2 linked regions of the Lonchura striata genome follow. The protein of the gene in region 1 interacts with the protein of each later gene in a pairwise test. Links are inferred from orthologs where the notes say so. Each region holds a gene or a part of one and is shown on either strand. Other genes may lie near its edges.

The links.
Region 2: the proteins of DCTN2 (region 1) and GADD45A interact in binary tests that used the Homo sapiens proteins (3 or more experiments, as listed by UniProt). The link is inferred for Lonchura striata from reciprocal best matches to the Homo sapiens genes DCTN2 and GADD45A.

Annotation. Positions count from the first base shown.
Region 1 is NC_134629.1:5,205,877-5,213,362, forward strand, and holds the start of DCTN2 (dynactin subunit 2), read left to right. Parts: upstream 1-4,429; 5' UTR 4,430-4,479; coding exon 4,480-4,515; intron 4,516-5,857; coding exon 5,858-5,926; intron 5,927-7,486. Other genes in the region: kinesin heavy chain, read right to left, coding at 1,538-1,666. UniProt on the Homo sapiens protein: Part of the dynactin complex that activates the molecular motor dynein for ultra-processive transport along microtubules. In the dynactin soulder domain, binds the ACTR1A filament and acts as a molecular ruler to determine the length.
Region 2 is NC_134611.1:5,083,393-5,090,150, reverse strand, and holds GADD45A (growth arrest and DNA damage-inducible protein GADD45 alpha), read left to right. Parts: upstream 1-4,678; 5' UTR 4,679-4,731; coding exon 4,732-4,775; intron 4,776-4,857; coding exon 4,858-4,959; intron 4,960-5,037; coding exon 5,038-5,251; intron 5,252-5,747; coding exon 5,748-5,861; 3' UTR 5,862-6,252; downstream 6,253-6,758. UniProt on the Homo sapiens protein: In T-cells, functions as a regulator of p38 MAPKs by inhibiting p88 phosphorylation and activity.

The sequences.
Region 1 (7,486 bases):
CAGACACAGGGACACACGGACACAGGGACACATGAACACAGGGACACACGGACACAGGGACACATGGATACGGGGACACACGGACACATGGACATGGGGGACACACGGACACATGGACACAGGGACACATGGACACAGGGACACATGGACACAGAGACACACGGACACGGGGATACACGGACACATGGACACAGGGACATGGGGGACACACGGACACGGGGACAGGGGGACACATGGGCACACGGACACACAGTCATGGGGACACACAGACACGGGGACACACAGCCATGGGGACACACGGACACACGTACACGGGGACACACGGACACACGGACACACGGACACACGGACGCGGGGACAGCCGGTGTCCGCAGCCCGCGCCCCCGCTCCCCCCGGTCCCCCGCAGCCGCCGCAGCTCCGCGGCCCCGCCCGCCGCCGGTCACGCAACCTCCCCGCACCCCCCGCACCCCCACCCTGCCCGGGCCCGCACCCCGCACCCACCGCCCCCACCCGCAGCCCCCATCCCACCCGCACCCACCCGCAGCCCCCATCCCACCCGCACCCACCGCCCCCACCCGCACCGCCACCCCCGCGACTCCCCCCGCGCCCGCAACCTCCTGCCCCGCATTGCGCCGGCACAGCCGCACCGCGCCGGCCCCGGCCAGGGACCCCCACCCAGGGACCCCACCCAGGGACCCCACCCAGGGACCCCATCCACGGACCCCATCCACGGACCTCACCCACGGACCCCCCATCCCATGGAATCCCCCCCACCCACGGACCCCATCCACGGACCCCATCCACGGACCCCATCCACGGACCCCATCCACGGACACCACCCTCGGACCCCCACCCACGGACCCCCCCTCCCATGGAATCCCCCCCATCCACCGACCCCCATCCACGGACCCCCACCTACGGACCCCATCCACGGACCCCACCCACGGACCCCATCCACGGACCCCATCCACGGACCTCACCCACGGACCCCACCCACGGACCCCATCCACGGACCCCATCCACGGACCCCACCCAGGCACCCCACCCACGGACCCCACCCACGGACCCCCCCACCCACGGCCCCCTCCCCACGCCCGCAGACCCCCCCGGGGACCATCGCTTCCCCCCGACGCCCCCTCCGGGCGAGGGGGGGGCGTTATGGGGAGGCGGGGAGGGGGTGGCAATATTTTGGGGGCCTCAGCCGCCCCCCGGATGAGCCCCTAACAAAGGGCGGGGCCGCAGCGCCGGGGGAGGGGGGGATCTGCGGCACCCCCCCACCCCCCCGGCTGCTTTGGGGGCCGATCGTGCCCCCCCGGCGGGGTCAGGGCGTTTCTGCTCAGTGTAAACATCCCCCCCCCGGCACTGGGCAAACTGGGAGTGCCCGAGCCTCGGAAATGGGGGGAGGGTCCCGGGGGGCAGCGGCCGCACCCAGAGCAGGGTCTGCCCCCCAAGTGACAACGCCCCCGCTGCGGGGACCCCCTCCCGAAGTGGGGGTGCCGCCCCCCCCCACCCTGGGGGTCCCCCCGCTCTGACTCACCCCCACCACGACGCTGTCGTCCCCCTGGAACACGGGCAGGAACTTGTCCCCCCGCAGGATCTCGGCCTGGTTGAGGGGCCGGAACCGGCACAGGACCTTGATGCTGCACTCGGAGCTGAGCTCGGCCATGGCGGGGGTCGGGGGGCGGCGAGACGGGGGCGGGCAAGGCAGCGGGGGTGTCACAGCCTAAGGCTCCGGCGGCACCGGGGCGCAGGAGGGTACCCGGGGATGCCCGGCGGTACCCGAGGGTGCAGGATGCAGCTCAGGGACGCGGGATGCTGCCCAAAGATGCAGGGGGGTGCCCAGGTGGTGCCCAGGGATGCAGGATGCTGCTCAGGGATGCAGGATGCTGCCCAAAGATGCAGGATGCTGCTCAGGGACGCAGGATGCTGCCCAAAGATGCAGGATGCTGCTCAGGGATGCAGGATGCTGCTCAGGGACGCAGGATGCTGCCCGGGCGGTACCCAAGGACTCGGAATGCTGCCCGGGATGCAGGATGCTGCTCAGCACTGCAGGGTGGTACCCAGGGCTGCGGGTGGTACCCAGGGATGCAGGATGCGCTGCGGGATGCAGGATGCGGCTTGCGGGCTGCAGGATGCGGGAGGCGGCGCCGGGCGGGGCTGACGCTCCGCAGCTGCCGCTGTCGCCGCTCCTGTGACCGCCGCTGTCGCCACTGCAGCCCCGGGACCGGCGGGCGGGGGGGCCGCCCCCCGCGCCCCCTCCCCCGCCTTAAGGTGGAGCCGCCCGCGGCTCTTAAGGTGGACGGAACTGGAAGGGGGGGACGCAGCCCCGGGGATGGACCCCCCCAAAATGCTGATTCACGGCTGGAGGAGCGGGACGGGCCGGGGAACGGGACCGGGGCGCGGCTGGGGAGGGGGGAGCAGGGCCAGCCTCCCCCCGCCGCCCTGCCCGGTGTCCCCCCCGCGGGAAGGCGGCGGTCCTGACTCATCCCCCCGGCCTGGAGATCCCCCGCCCCTCCGTGAGACCCCCCAAACACGCCGGGGGGCGGCCCGGAGCTGACCCCGGGGGTCTCCCGCGGGTGAGAAGTGCAGCCTCACCATGGGATGCAGCCCTGGACACACCCATGGGTGCCCACCCACCTGCGTGGCCGCAGTGCCACCCAGCCTGTGCTTGCCCCCACTGATGGGGGACACCCATGAGCCTGCCCCGGGTGTCCCCCCGGGTCCCCACCGTGTCCCCCACCCTGCGCTCTGCCGTGTGCCCCTCATGTGTCCTCCCGTGTGTCCCCCTGGCGTGCGCCCACTGCGTGCCCCTGTGCCCCCCGTGTTTCCCCCTGTGTCCCCCCGTGTCCCTTCATGTGTCCCCACATCTGAACCCCGTGTCCCCCCGCGTGCTCCGCGTGTGCCCCCCCATGTGTGTCCCCGCGCGTGTCCTCGTGTGCCCCCACCCGTGTGCCCCCCTCTGTGTCGCCCCCTGTGTCTCCCCCCGTTCCCCGCCCCTTGTTCACCCCCGGTGTGTCCCCCTCGTACCCCCGTGCCCCGTCCGTGGCCGTGTGCCCCCTGTCCCACACCACTGTCCTCCTCCGTGTCCGTGTGTCCCCATTGTCCCCCCCATCGTCCCCCCCACTGTCCCCCCAATTGTCCTCCCAGTTGTCCCTCCAATTGTCCCCTCCACTGTCCCCCCAGTTGTCCCCTCCACTGTCCCCCCCATCGTCCCCCCCACTGTCCCCCCAATTGTCCTCCCAGTTGTCCCTCCAATTGTCCCCTCCACTGTCCCCCCAGTTGTCCCCTCCACTGTCCCCCCCATCGTCCCCCCCACTGTCCCCCCATCGTCCCCCAGTTGTCCCCCCAACTGTCCCCCCAATTGTCCTCCCAGTTGTCCCCCCCATCGTCCCCCCCCACTGTCCCCCCAGTTGTCCCCCTAATTGTCCCCCCATTGTCCCCCCCACTGTCCCCCCTCCATGTCCCCCCCACTGTCTCCCTAATTGTCCCCCCCCACTGTCCCCCCAGTTGTTCCCCCAGTTGTCCCCCCCACTGTCCCCCCCACTGTCCCCCCCACTGTCCCCCCAGTTGTCCCCCCCATCGTCCCCCCCATCGTCCCCCCCACTGTCCCCCCAGTTGTTCCCCCAGTTGTCCCCCCACTGTCCTCCCCCAATTGTCCTCCCAGTTGTCCCCCCCACTGTCCCACCCCACTGTCCCCCCCACTGTCTCCCCAATTGTCCCCCCCCACTGTCCCCCCAGTTGTTCCCCCAGTTGTCCCCCCCACTGTCCCCCCCCACTGTCCCCCCCACTGTCTCCCCAATTGTCCCCCCCCAATGTCCCCCCCACTGTCCCCCCAGTTGTCCCCCTAATTGTCCCCCCACTGTCCCCCCACTGTCCCCCCAATTGTCCCCCCACTGTCCCCCCAGTTGTCCCCCTAATTGTCCCCCCACTGTCCCCCCAATTGTCCCCCCACTGTCCCCCCAATTGTCCCCCCATTGTCCCCCAGTGCCGCCCCCGCCCCGTCTGCTCGTTCAGGCCCCGCCCCCGCCTCAGCCAGGCCCCGCCCACCTCTCCAGGCCCCGCCCACCCGCCCGGCCCCGCCCCTGCGCTCTCGCCTCTCGCACCGCCCCGCGCGGCTCTCGCGAGACCAGCCCCGCCCCGGCCCTGCGCGGCCATTCCGGGACCCGGCACCGGCCCCGGTACCGACCCCCGGTACCGACCCCCGCAACCGGCCCCGGCACCGGCCCCGGCACCGACCCCCGGTACCGACCCCCGCAACCGGCCCCGGTTCCGACCCCCGGCACCGACCCCCGCAACCGGCCCCGGTTCCGACCCCCAGCACCGACCCCCGGCACCGACCCCCGGTACCGACCCCCGGCACCGACCCCCGGCACCGACCCCCGGTACCCACCCCCGCAACCGGCACCGGCCCCGGTACCGACCCCCGGTACCGACCCCCGCAACCGGCCCCCGGTACCAACCCCCGGTACCGCCCCCACCATGGCCGACCCCAAGTACGCCGACCTGCCCGGCATCGTGAGTGAGGGGCCGGGCCGGGAGGAGCCGGGGCTGTGAGCGGGTGTAGCAGGGGTCGGGGGCTCTGAGGGGATCGGGGGGATCAGAGGGGGCCGGGGGTGCTGAGGGCCCTGAGGGGATCGGGGGAGTCAAGCGGGATAAGCCCTGGGGGACAATGAGGGAACTGCGGGGATCTGGGGTCTGAGGGGGATCTTAGGGGCCCGAGGGGATCTGAGGGGGATCTGGGGGTCTGAGGGGGATCTGGGGATCTGAGGGGGATCTGGGGGTCTGAGGGGGATCTGGGGATCTGAGGGGGATCTGGGGGTCTGAGGGGGATCTGGGGGTCTGAGGGGGATCTGGGGATCTGAGGGGGATCTGGGGGTCTGAGGGGCCCAGAGGGTCTGAGGGGGCCAGAGGGTCTGAGGGGGATCTGGGGGTCTGAGGGGGATCTTAGGGGCCAGAGGGTCTGAGGGGGATCTGGAGGTCTGAGGGGTATTTGGGGATCTGAGGGGGATCTGGGGGTCTGAGGGGGCGGGGGGGTCTGAAGGGGCCAGAGGGTCTGAGGGGGATCTTAGGGGCCCGAGGGGATCTGAGGGGGATCTGGAGGTCTGAGGGGTATTTGGGGATCTGAGGGGGTTCTGGGGGTCTGAGGGGGATCTGGGGGTCTGAGGGGGCCGGGGGGTCTCGGAATTGGAGGGGACCGGTGGGACATGGAGGGACTGGGGAGGTGGGAGAAGGGCGGCTCGGAGAGGGTCCGAGGGTCAGAGCGGGTCAGGGGGATCTGGGGGTGCTGCGGGGTGTCTCAGGGCTCTGGGGGGACCCGGGGAATCAGGGGTCCTGAGGTGGGCTGAGGGGGCTGAGGGACTGCAGGGATCAAGTCAAATTTGGGGGGTCTGAGCTTGGAATGACTGACAGGGTCTGGGGGCCAGGGGGATTTGGGAAATCTGAGGGGTGGTAGGTCTGGAGAAGATCTGGAGGTGAGCTGAGGGGTCCGTGGGGTGGGGGGTTGGCAGTGTTTGGGGTGTAGGAATGGGAGGGGGCTGGGGCTGGGGAGGGCTTGGGGTGCCAGGAAGGGCACCTGTCTGTCTGTCTGTGGGTCTGTCCGTGGGGTGAGCCCGGATCCCTGGGGCGTGGGAGCACCCCGTGCGTTTGGGGTGACGGTGGGAACTGGGACGTGGTGCTGGGGGGAGATCAGGGGACGGGGGCAGTGAGTCGGGGTGTTGGGGGGACACTGGGGTGTTTGAAGTGCTTTTGGGGGAGCGGGGCAGTCAGCACGGGGTGTGGGGACACTGGGATGTCCAGAGGGACATGTGGCACATCAGGGATGAGGTGTGGGGGTCCCAGCACGGTCCTGGTGCCGCAGGCCCGGAACGAGCCCGACGTGTACGAGACCAGTGACCTGCCTGAGGATGACCAGGCCGAGTTCGAGGCGGTAAGGCCCGGCCCGTGGGGGGAGCAGCAGCTGCACCGGACCCCCGGGACCCCCGGGACCCCCAGCACTGGCACCGTGACAGGGAACCAGCCCCCCATGCACCCGGCAGCACCGCATTGTGCACAGCGACACGTCACCCCACAGTGACAGTGTCCTCACAGTCCCAATGTCCTCCACAGTGACAGTGTCCACCCAGTCCCAATGTCCTCCACAGTGACAGTGTGTCCCCACAGTGACATTTTCCTCCACAATGACAGTGTCCCCCACAGTGACAGTGTGTCACCTCACAGTGACATTTTTCCCACAGTTACAGTGTTCACCCAGTCCCAATGTCCCCCACAGTGCCAGTGTCCCCACAGAGACAGTGTCCCCACAGTCCCAATGTCCCCCATGGTGACAGTGTCCCCACAGTGACATTTTTCCCCACAGTGGCAGTGTCCCCCCACAGTGCCAGTGTGCCCCACGGTGACAGTGTCCCCACAGTGCCAGTGTGCCCCACAGTGACAGTGTCCCCACGGTGACAGTGTCCCCACAGTGACAGTGTGCCCCACAGTGGCAGTGTCCCCCCACAGTGCCAGTGTGCCCCACAGTGACAGTGTCCCCCACAGTGTCAGTGTGCCCCACAGTGACAGTGTCCCTACGGTGACAGTGTCCCCCACAGTGACAGTGTCCCCACAGTGACAGTGTCCCCACAGTGACATTTTTCCCCACAGTGACAGTGTCCCCCACAGTGACATTTTCCTCCACAGTGACAGTGTCCCCCACAGTGACAGTGTCCCCACAGTGACATTTTTCCCCACAGTGACAGTGTCCCCCACAGTGACAGTGTCCTCCACAGTGACAGTGTCCCCCCACAGTGACATTTTTCCCCACAGTGACAGTGTCCCCCACAGTGACAGTGTCCCCACAGTGACATTTTTCCCCACAGTGACAGTGTCCCCCACAGTGACATTTTCCTCCACAGTGACAGTGTCCCCACAGTGACATTTTCCTCCACAGTGACAGTGTCCCCACAGTGACAGTGTCCCCACAGTGACAGTGTCCCCCACAGTGGCAGTGTCCCCACAGTGACAGTGTGCCCCACGGTGACAGTGTGCCCCACGGTGACAGTGTCCCCCACAGTGACATTTTCCTCCACAGTGACAGTGTCCCCACGGTGACAGTGTCCCCCACGGTGACAGTGTCCCCCACAGTGACATTTTCCTCCACAGTCCCAATGTCCCCCACAGTGACAGTGTCCCCCACGGTGACAGTGTCCCCCACAGTGACATTTTCCTCCACAGTCCCAATGTCCCCCACAGTGACAGTGTCCCCACAGTGACAGTGTCCCCCACAGTGACATTTTCCTTCACAGTGACAATGTCCCCACAGTGGCAGTGTGCCCCACGGTGACAGTGTCCCCCCATGATGACAATGTTCCCTGCAGTGTAGCCCCCCCACCCCCTGTGGCACCCTGCCTGTGCTTTGGGGCAGGAAGGGGAGAGCAGGACCCGGCTGGGGGTCCCTGTCCTTGCTGTCCTTGTCCCCAAGAGGAACTGAGCTGCCGGTTCCCCAGCCCCA
Region 2 (6,758 bases), on another chromosome or scaffold:
AACCACCCCCGTTCCCGGATCCCACGGGCACGCCTGGGGGCTGGTTTGGGGAGGGTCCGGCCCTCCCAGTGCTCACACCGGAGCTCTCCTGCGGGCCCGGGGAAAGCCAAGCGCCCGGGAACAGGGAATTCCCTGCGGGAGGCAGCACCGGGCCGGGGGGTGTTGGCAGCACGGCACAGGAAAGTGTTCCCACGTGGAAGCGCCACTGGTGCGCTGCTTTATGGCCCCACGCTGCCAAGAAATGGAAAAAGTTTGTTTTCACTTCAGCGCGGCTCTCTCTGTCCCCGGGCTGGACTTCGCCCGGCGCTGCCCGGCCGGGTGGTTCCCACCCGGGCTGCCACGCGTGCCCGGCATGGCCAGGCTGGGAAAAACGCCTGATTCTGCAGGGAGAAGGGGTGGAGGGTGCATGCAGGGCAGAGGGAACGTCCCTGCCAGGAGCAGCACAGCCTTCTGCTGCCCTGAACCCACAGGCACGAGGAGCTGAGCAGGGACTTGCTGGGCTGGGGAAGGAAAAGATATTCCAGCAGGAAGTCTCCTTCAGCAGAAGGAAAAGACATTTCAGATATTTACCCAGGGTGGTGGGACATGGGTGAGCCATGAAATCACAGAATCCTGGGGTGGTTTGGGCTGAAAGGGACCTTAGACCTCCTCCAGTCCCACTCCCTTGGGGAGCAGGCAGGGACACCTTCCCCTGTCCCAGGCTGCTCCAAGCCCTGTCCAAGCTGGCTTCGAGCACTTCCAGGAACGGAGCAGCCACAGCTGCCAGGGTCTCACCACCCTCCCGGCCAAGAATTTCCTCCTGATCTCCAATCTCCATCTCCTCTCCTTCAGTTTAAAGCCACTGGAGCACTCCCAGGCTCCCACTCGTGCTCGCTGTTTGCAGAGCTCCTGCCGCAGCCAGGGAGAGCCGGCTCCCTCTCGGCGACCTTCCAGCACCACGGCGGGCTGCAGGAATGTGCTGAGTGCGGGATAAACACATCCCAGATCCCCGGCGCCCCAGCCCCCTGCCCTCCCACCTCTGCGGGAGCTGAGCCCCGCTCAGGAGCCCGCAAAGGGGCTGGGGCCAGGCAGGAGGAGAATGCCCGTGCCGGGGAGCTGCCAGCCCTGCTCCGTGCCGGGGAGCTGCCAGCCCTGCTCCGTGCTGGGGAAGTGCCAGCCCTGCTCCGTGCCGGGGAGGTGCCAGCCCTGCTCCGTGCCAGGGAGGTGCCAGCCCTGCTCCGTGCCGGGGAACTGCCAGCCCTGCTCCGTGCTGGGGAAGTGCCAGTCCTGCTCCGTGCCGGGGAAGTGCCAGTCCTGCTCCGTGCCAGGGAAGTGCCAGCCCTGCTCCGTGCCGGGGAAGTGCCAGCCCTGCTCCGTGCCGGGGAAGTGCCAGCCCTGCTCCGTGCCGGGGAGCTGCCAGCCCTGCTCCGTGCTGGGGAAGTGCCAGTCCTGCTCCGTGCCGGGGAGGTGCCAGCCCTGCTCCGTGCCACCGAGCCGGGCTCTCGGCTGCACTCCCATGACCTGGGTGGTTGAGAAAGCTGCCGGCACCGTGCCCAGCTCCAGAGCCAAGGCCAGGCGGGCCCGGGCTTCCCTTCCCGCTGTGCCGTGAGCTCCCGGGCTGCCCAAAGCCAAACCCCGAGCAGCAGCAGGGGTGGCTGCAGCTGAACCCCGCTTTGAGCTCCAGCAGGGGTGGGGGGACTCCCAGGAAAACGGGGGGAATGTCTTCTTGTCCTTGTGCTGCCGGTGCTGGAGAGGATGTGGCACTGATGGTGCCAGGGCGGGTGGATCCTGGGGCACTCCCAGGCTCCTGCCCTGCTCCACGGGGAGGCCAAGCCGAGGTTCCCTGGCTGCCAGAGCCCGGGGATCCGCTCCTGCACGGCTCCGGGGCGGGATGCCCCGCTCTGGGAAGGTGGATGTGCCTGGGCACCGCAGGTCAGCTCGGTGACACGGAACTGGTGGCACCGGGGACACGGCGGCTCCCGGAGCAGAGGCCGTCCCTGGAATGTGCAAGCTGGCGTTTGCTCTGCATCCAGCGGATCCAGAGGCACTGGGAACGCTCGGTGGCCCTGGCACAGCAGCCTGGGGTGCCCAGGGGTGTCCCAGCAAACGGGCACAGCGAGATTTCCCACAGCAGCCAAGGGGCTGGACAAAGGTCCCACCTGGGACAGGACAAAGCAGGGAAACGAGGGAGGGGGATCGGGGGCACCCCAAGGAGGGACAGCAGGAGCCAAGGGAACGGGAGCAGCATCCCGGCACTGTTCCAGGGGCTCAGGGCCGGGACCACCCCGAGGCACCCCCGGGAAGGGCCTGGCCGGCTGCCGGGGCTCCGGAGGGATGGGGCTCTGTCACCTCTCACTGCCGCTGTTTGACGGCTGGTCTCCTTCCCAAAATCTGAAATTAAACAAGCTGATGCTCTGAGGTGCGGGAAGCGCCTCTGCAGCTGGTCCAGACGTCCTCCCCCACCGGGGGCTCCAGTGGGCATCTCCCACATCCCTGGGGTTAACCCATTGCTGTCCAAGCCGCCTCCGAGCTCGGGCAGCTCAGCCCCGCAGCCCAGAGAACATTCGGGGTGAGGCTCTGCCGAGTGGGGGGAAGAGCTGAGCCCCTCGGCGGAGCCTGAGCCCCACACGGCTCCCGACCCCCGACTCTGCCACGCCGAAGGAGGGGAGGGCAGGCCCGGCCTAGAGAATGATGAAAGTCGGGATTAAAGGGCAGGGGGGGAGACAAACACCGCGGCCGCTTTTGGCAGGCGATGAAAGGAGGTTCAGCAGCAGCTGCCAGCTGGGAGCTGACGGAGGGACAACAGCTCCATCCCGGGCTGCCCGGGCCGGCGGCCACGGCACATCCCGGCACGGCCAGCGCTGTCCCCGCGCACCCCGCAGCCCGCATCCCGCATCCTCGGGAAACGGGAGAACGGGAGACGGCGGGAGAGCCGCGGGGCCAGCGCGGGTTCAGAGCGCTGCCCGCCGCCCCCGGGAGGGGAAAAGAGCCTTCAGCTGCTTCCCAGCTGCCTCCCAGACAGATTTAGCTCTGGGGCCGGCACAGATGGGGCTGCGGAGGCACAGGCGGAGCCCGCAGTTGCTAATAGAGATACAGCAAATTAAGCGCACTTAATTCGGAGGGTCACCGCACAATGCTCCCACCTGTTTTGCTGCGGTCCGGCCATCTGCCGCCCCTCCACCTGATGCAAAAAGGGCTTTTCTCCCTTTCCCCCACACCGGCTCTCACCAGGCTGCGGCAGCAGGGCAGGGTAGAGCCGGGCCGGGGGGACAGAACAAAGCCCTGGGAGGTTTTCCTCCCGGAGCCAGCACAGCCGGGGGGCGCAGAAATCACCCTCATTATTCTGCTGCAGAAACGCTTTGATATGCCCCTGAAGTGTTCCAGATTGGGCAGGACTTGGAGCAAGATGGGGGGGTGGAACAAAACCATCCCTGGGGTTCCTTCCAGCCCAAACCACTCCAGGATTCTGTGATACCTCATTTCCCAGAGGGGGATTCTGTGATATCTCATTTCCCTCAGGGGTTCTGCAGGAGCTGCATGGATCTGGCATCGCTCTGCACCTTGTGCTGTGGAAACGGCTCCTGGAGCTCAGGAGCTGCAGGAAAACACCGGCACAAGCCAAACTTTAAAGCACACGCTGCCAAATCTCCGTAAGGGACCACCAAGGGTCCTGACTGCAGCCGTGGGGCCGGTGGGAATGTGCCAGCCCACAGCCAGGTTGGGAAAGAGCTCTGGCAGCGGCTGTGGGAGGATGGAGGGGTTTGGGTGCAGCAGCTGAGAAAGCTTTGACACAGCAGCCACCAGGAGAAATCCTGCCCGGAGGTCTCGGGGCTGACACGGGACATCTGGAGCAGGAGCAGCTTCCCGGACAAGCACCAAGTTCTTGGAAAGCTGCAAAGGGAGAGATCGCAGAACCACAGGCTGGGTTGGGTTGGGAGAGATCTTAAAGATCACCCAGTGCCACCCCTGCCGTGGCAGGGACACCTCCCACTGTCCCAGGCTGCTCCAGCCTGTCCAGCCTGGCCTGGGCACTGCCAGGGATCCAGGGGCAGCAGCGTGGCTGCCTGTGGCAAACACAGAAGGAGAAGGATCCAGGGAGAGCTCAGAGCCCCTGGGAATGTTCCCCTGGAGAGGAGAAGGATCCAGGGAGAGCTCAGAGCCCCTGGGAATGTTCCCCTGGAGAGGAGAAGGATCCAGGGAGAGCTCAGAGCCCCTGGGAATGTTCCCCTGGAGAGGAGAAGGATCCAGGGAGAGCTCAGAGCCCCTGGGAATGTTCCCCTGGAGAGGAGAAGGATCCAGGGAGAGCTCAGAGCCCCTGGGAATGTTCCCCTGGAGAGGAGAAGGATCCAGGGAGAGCTCAGAGCCCCTGGGAATGTTCCCCTGGAGAGGAGAAGGATCCAGGGAGAGCTCAGATCCCGTTCCCATTCCCGATCCTGTTCCCGTTCCCATTCCCGATCCCGATCTCATTCCCATTCCCGTTCCCATTCCCGATCCCGGCCAGGCCCGGCCGGACCCGGCACGCAATGGGCGTGGTCTAATTTGCATGAACCAATGGGCGCTGGTTATGCAAACGAAGGGGCGGGGCCGGGCGCCGGGCGGGGCGGCGCGCGCGGGGCGCCTTTGTCCGGCACGGGCGGCGGGGCCGGAGCGGCCGCAGCGGCCGGAGCGCGGTGTCCGCCAGCCCCTGTCCACCCCAGCCCCTGTCCACCCCAGCCCCTGTCCACCCCAGCCCCTGGCCGCCCCAGCCCCGTGATGACCCTGGAGGAGCTGCCCGGGGAGCGCCGCGCCGCCGGGAGGTGAGGCCGGGGGGCGGCGGGGGCCGGGCGGGGAGCGGCGCGGGGTGGCCGGTGACGGCCGGTGCCGCGTGTCCCGGCGCAGGATGGAGCAGGCGGGGGACGCGCTCGAGGAGGTGCTGAGCAAGGCGCTGAGCCAGCGGAGCCTGACCCTCGGCGTCTACGAGGCGGCCAAGCTGCTCAACGTGTGAGTGCCCCCCCCGTCCCCGTCCTCCCCCCGGTGCGCCCTGCCCGGTGCGCCCGCGGTGACGGCGCTGCCCCGCAGGGACCCCGATAACGTGGTGCTGTGCCTGCTGGCGGCCGAGGAGGAGGAGGCGGGGGACGCGGCGCTGCAGATCCACTTCACGCTGCTGCGGGCCTTCTGCTGCGAGAACGACATCAACATCCTGCGCGTCAGCAACCCGGCGCGCCTGGCCGAGCTGCTGCTGCCCGCCGCGGGCCCCGACCCGCCCGCCGACCTGCACTGCGTGCTCGTCACGGTGAGCCCGGGCTGCCCCCGCGGGCTCCCCGCCGCCGCTCGGGACCCCCGAGCCGCCGCGCCCGGGGCTCGAACCCGCGGCCCCGGGGCGGCGCGGGGTCCCGCGGTGCCTCCGCCGCCCTCGCCCCCGTTCGCCGCTGTGCCCCGGCTCCTCCTTTGTTCCTCGCCTCTTTCCCCTGTTCCGTCTTTTCTTTCCTTTGCTTTCCTCCTTTCCCTCTTTATTTTTCCCTTTTTCTTTCCCTCCCTTCCCCCACTTTTATCTCTCCCTCCTGGTTTTTTCTCCCTCCCCCCTTCCCTCCTCTGCCCCAGAGTCCAAAGCTAAAGCTCCTGACGCGCTCCCAGGCCCGACTTGTTTGTTTGCCTCGCCAGCAATTTGAGATGATTCACACTCCTGCGCTTCCCCCCCAGCCCCCGCCCGCCGCTCTGGGCTTGTTTTTGCTGCCGTGCCGGAGCTTTGTTTTTTTTTTTAATTTGTTTTTTTGCCGTCCCCTTTGCAGAACCCGCAGGCGTCGCAGTGGAAGGACCCGGCGCTGAGCCAGCTGATGTGTTTCTGCCGGGAGAGCCGGTACCTGGACCAGTGGGTGCCGGTCATCAACCTCCCGGAGCGGTGACCCCGGCCCGGCCGCTGCGGCGCCGCAGAAATTCTCGCTCAGGAAGGAACTCCCTGCCCCCGGCTCCGGGAGGGAAAATAAAAACCCGACAGCAACAACGAAACGTAGATGTAAAACAATAACGCTAAAACTGATGTCACTTGCGGGGGGTTTGGCTGCGGTGGAGCGATGCCGAGTGTGGCAGATGAGGAGAACAGGATGAGCCCAGCCCCAACTCCCCTCGCTCCCTCTGTCCTTAAGTGCCACTTCAAGTTCCTGCTTTGAACGCCTTGACGAGCAAACAGGTTCATCGAGGCCTTTTGCCAGCAATGTTGTTGTACTTTTGGGATGTAATTCTCACGTTTTTATGCTAAGATATATAATAATAATAATAATAAGTTATTTTCTGATATCAATGGAAAAAAAATTATTTATACTTGGTGGTTTGAGAACCGAAATGCCCTCAAGCAGTTGGTCTGCAACCATGAATCTTCTCCCAGTTGGCTGCAAAAGCAGCGCCATTAATATAATTGTTTGAAATTCGAGTGTATTTTTGGGGTTATGGTGGTCTTGTTTTGTGTTTTCTTTTTTTTTTTTTTTGAAATAAAGTGTAAAAATCAAACCTTTGGCCCAGGCTTTTATTCCCTCACTGCACGAGGCTGAGCAGTGAGCAGCAGCTGCTTCCTCCTGGCCATGGGCAAGGTCCTGTTGTGCAGCTCCAGTGTGGGTTCATTCCCGGCCCCTCCCAAGCAATTAAAGGCTGAAGCAGCCCGTGTGCTGCAGGAAATGTTGGGAATGTTGTTTATTTATTTATTTAATTTGCTTGAATGCTGCTGCAACAGGCACTAAAAAAAAACCAAAAAAACAAACAAAAAAAATGGAAAAAAAAAAAACAAAAAAACAAAAAAGGGTTTTGCT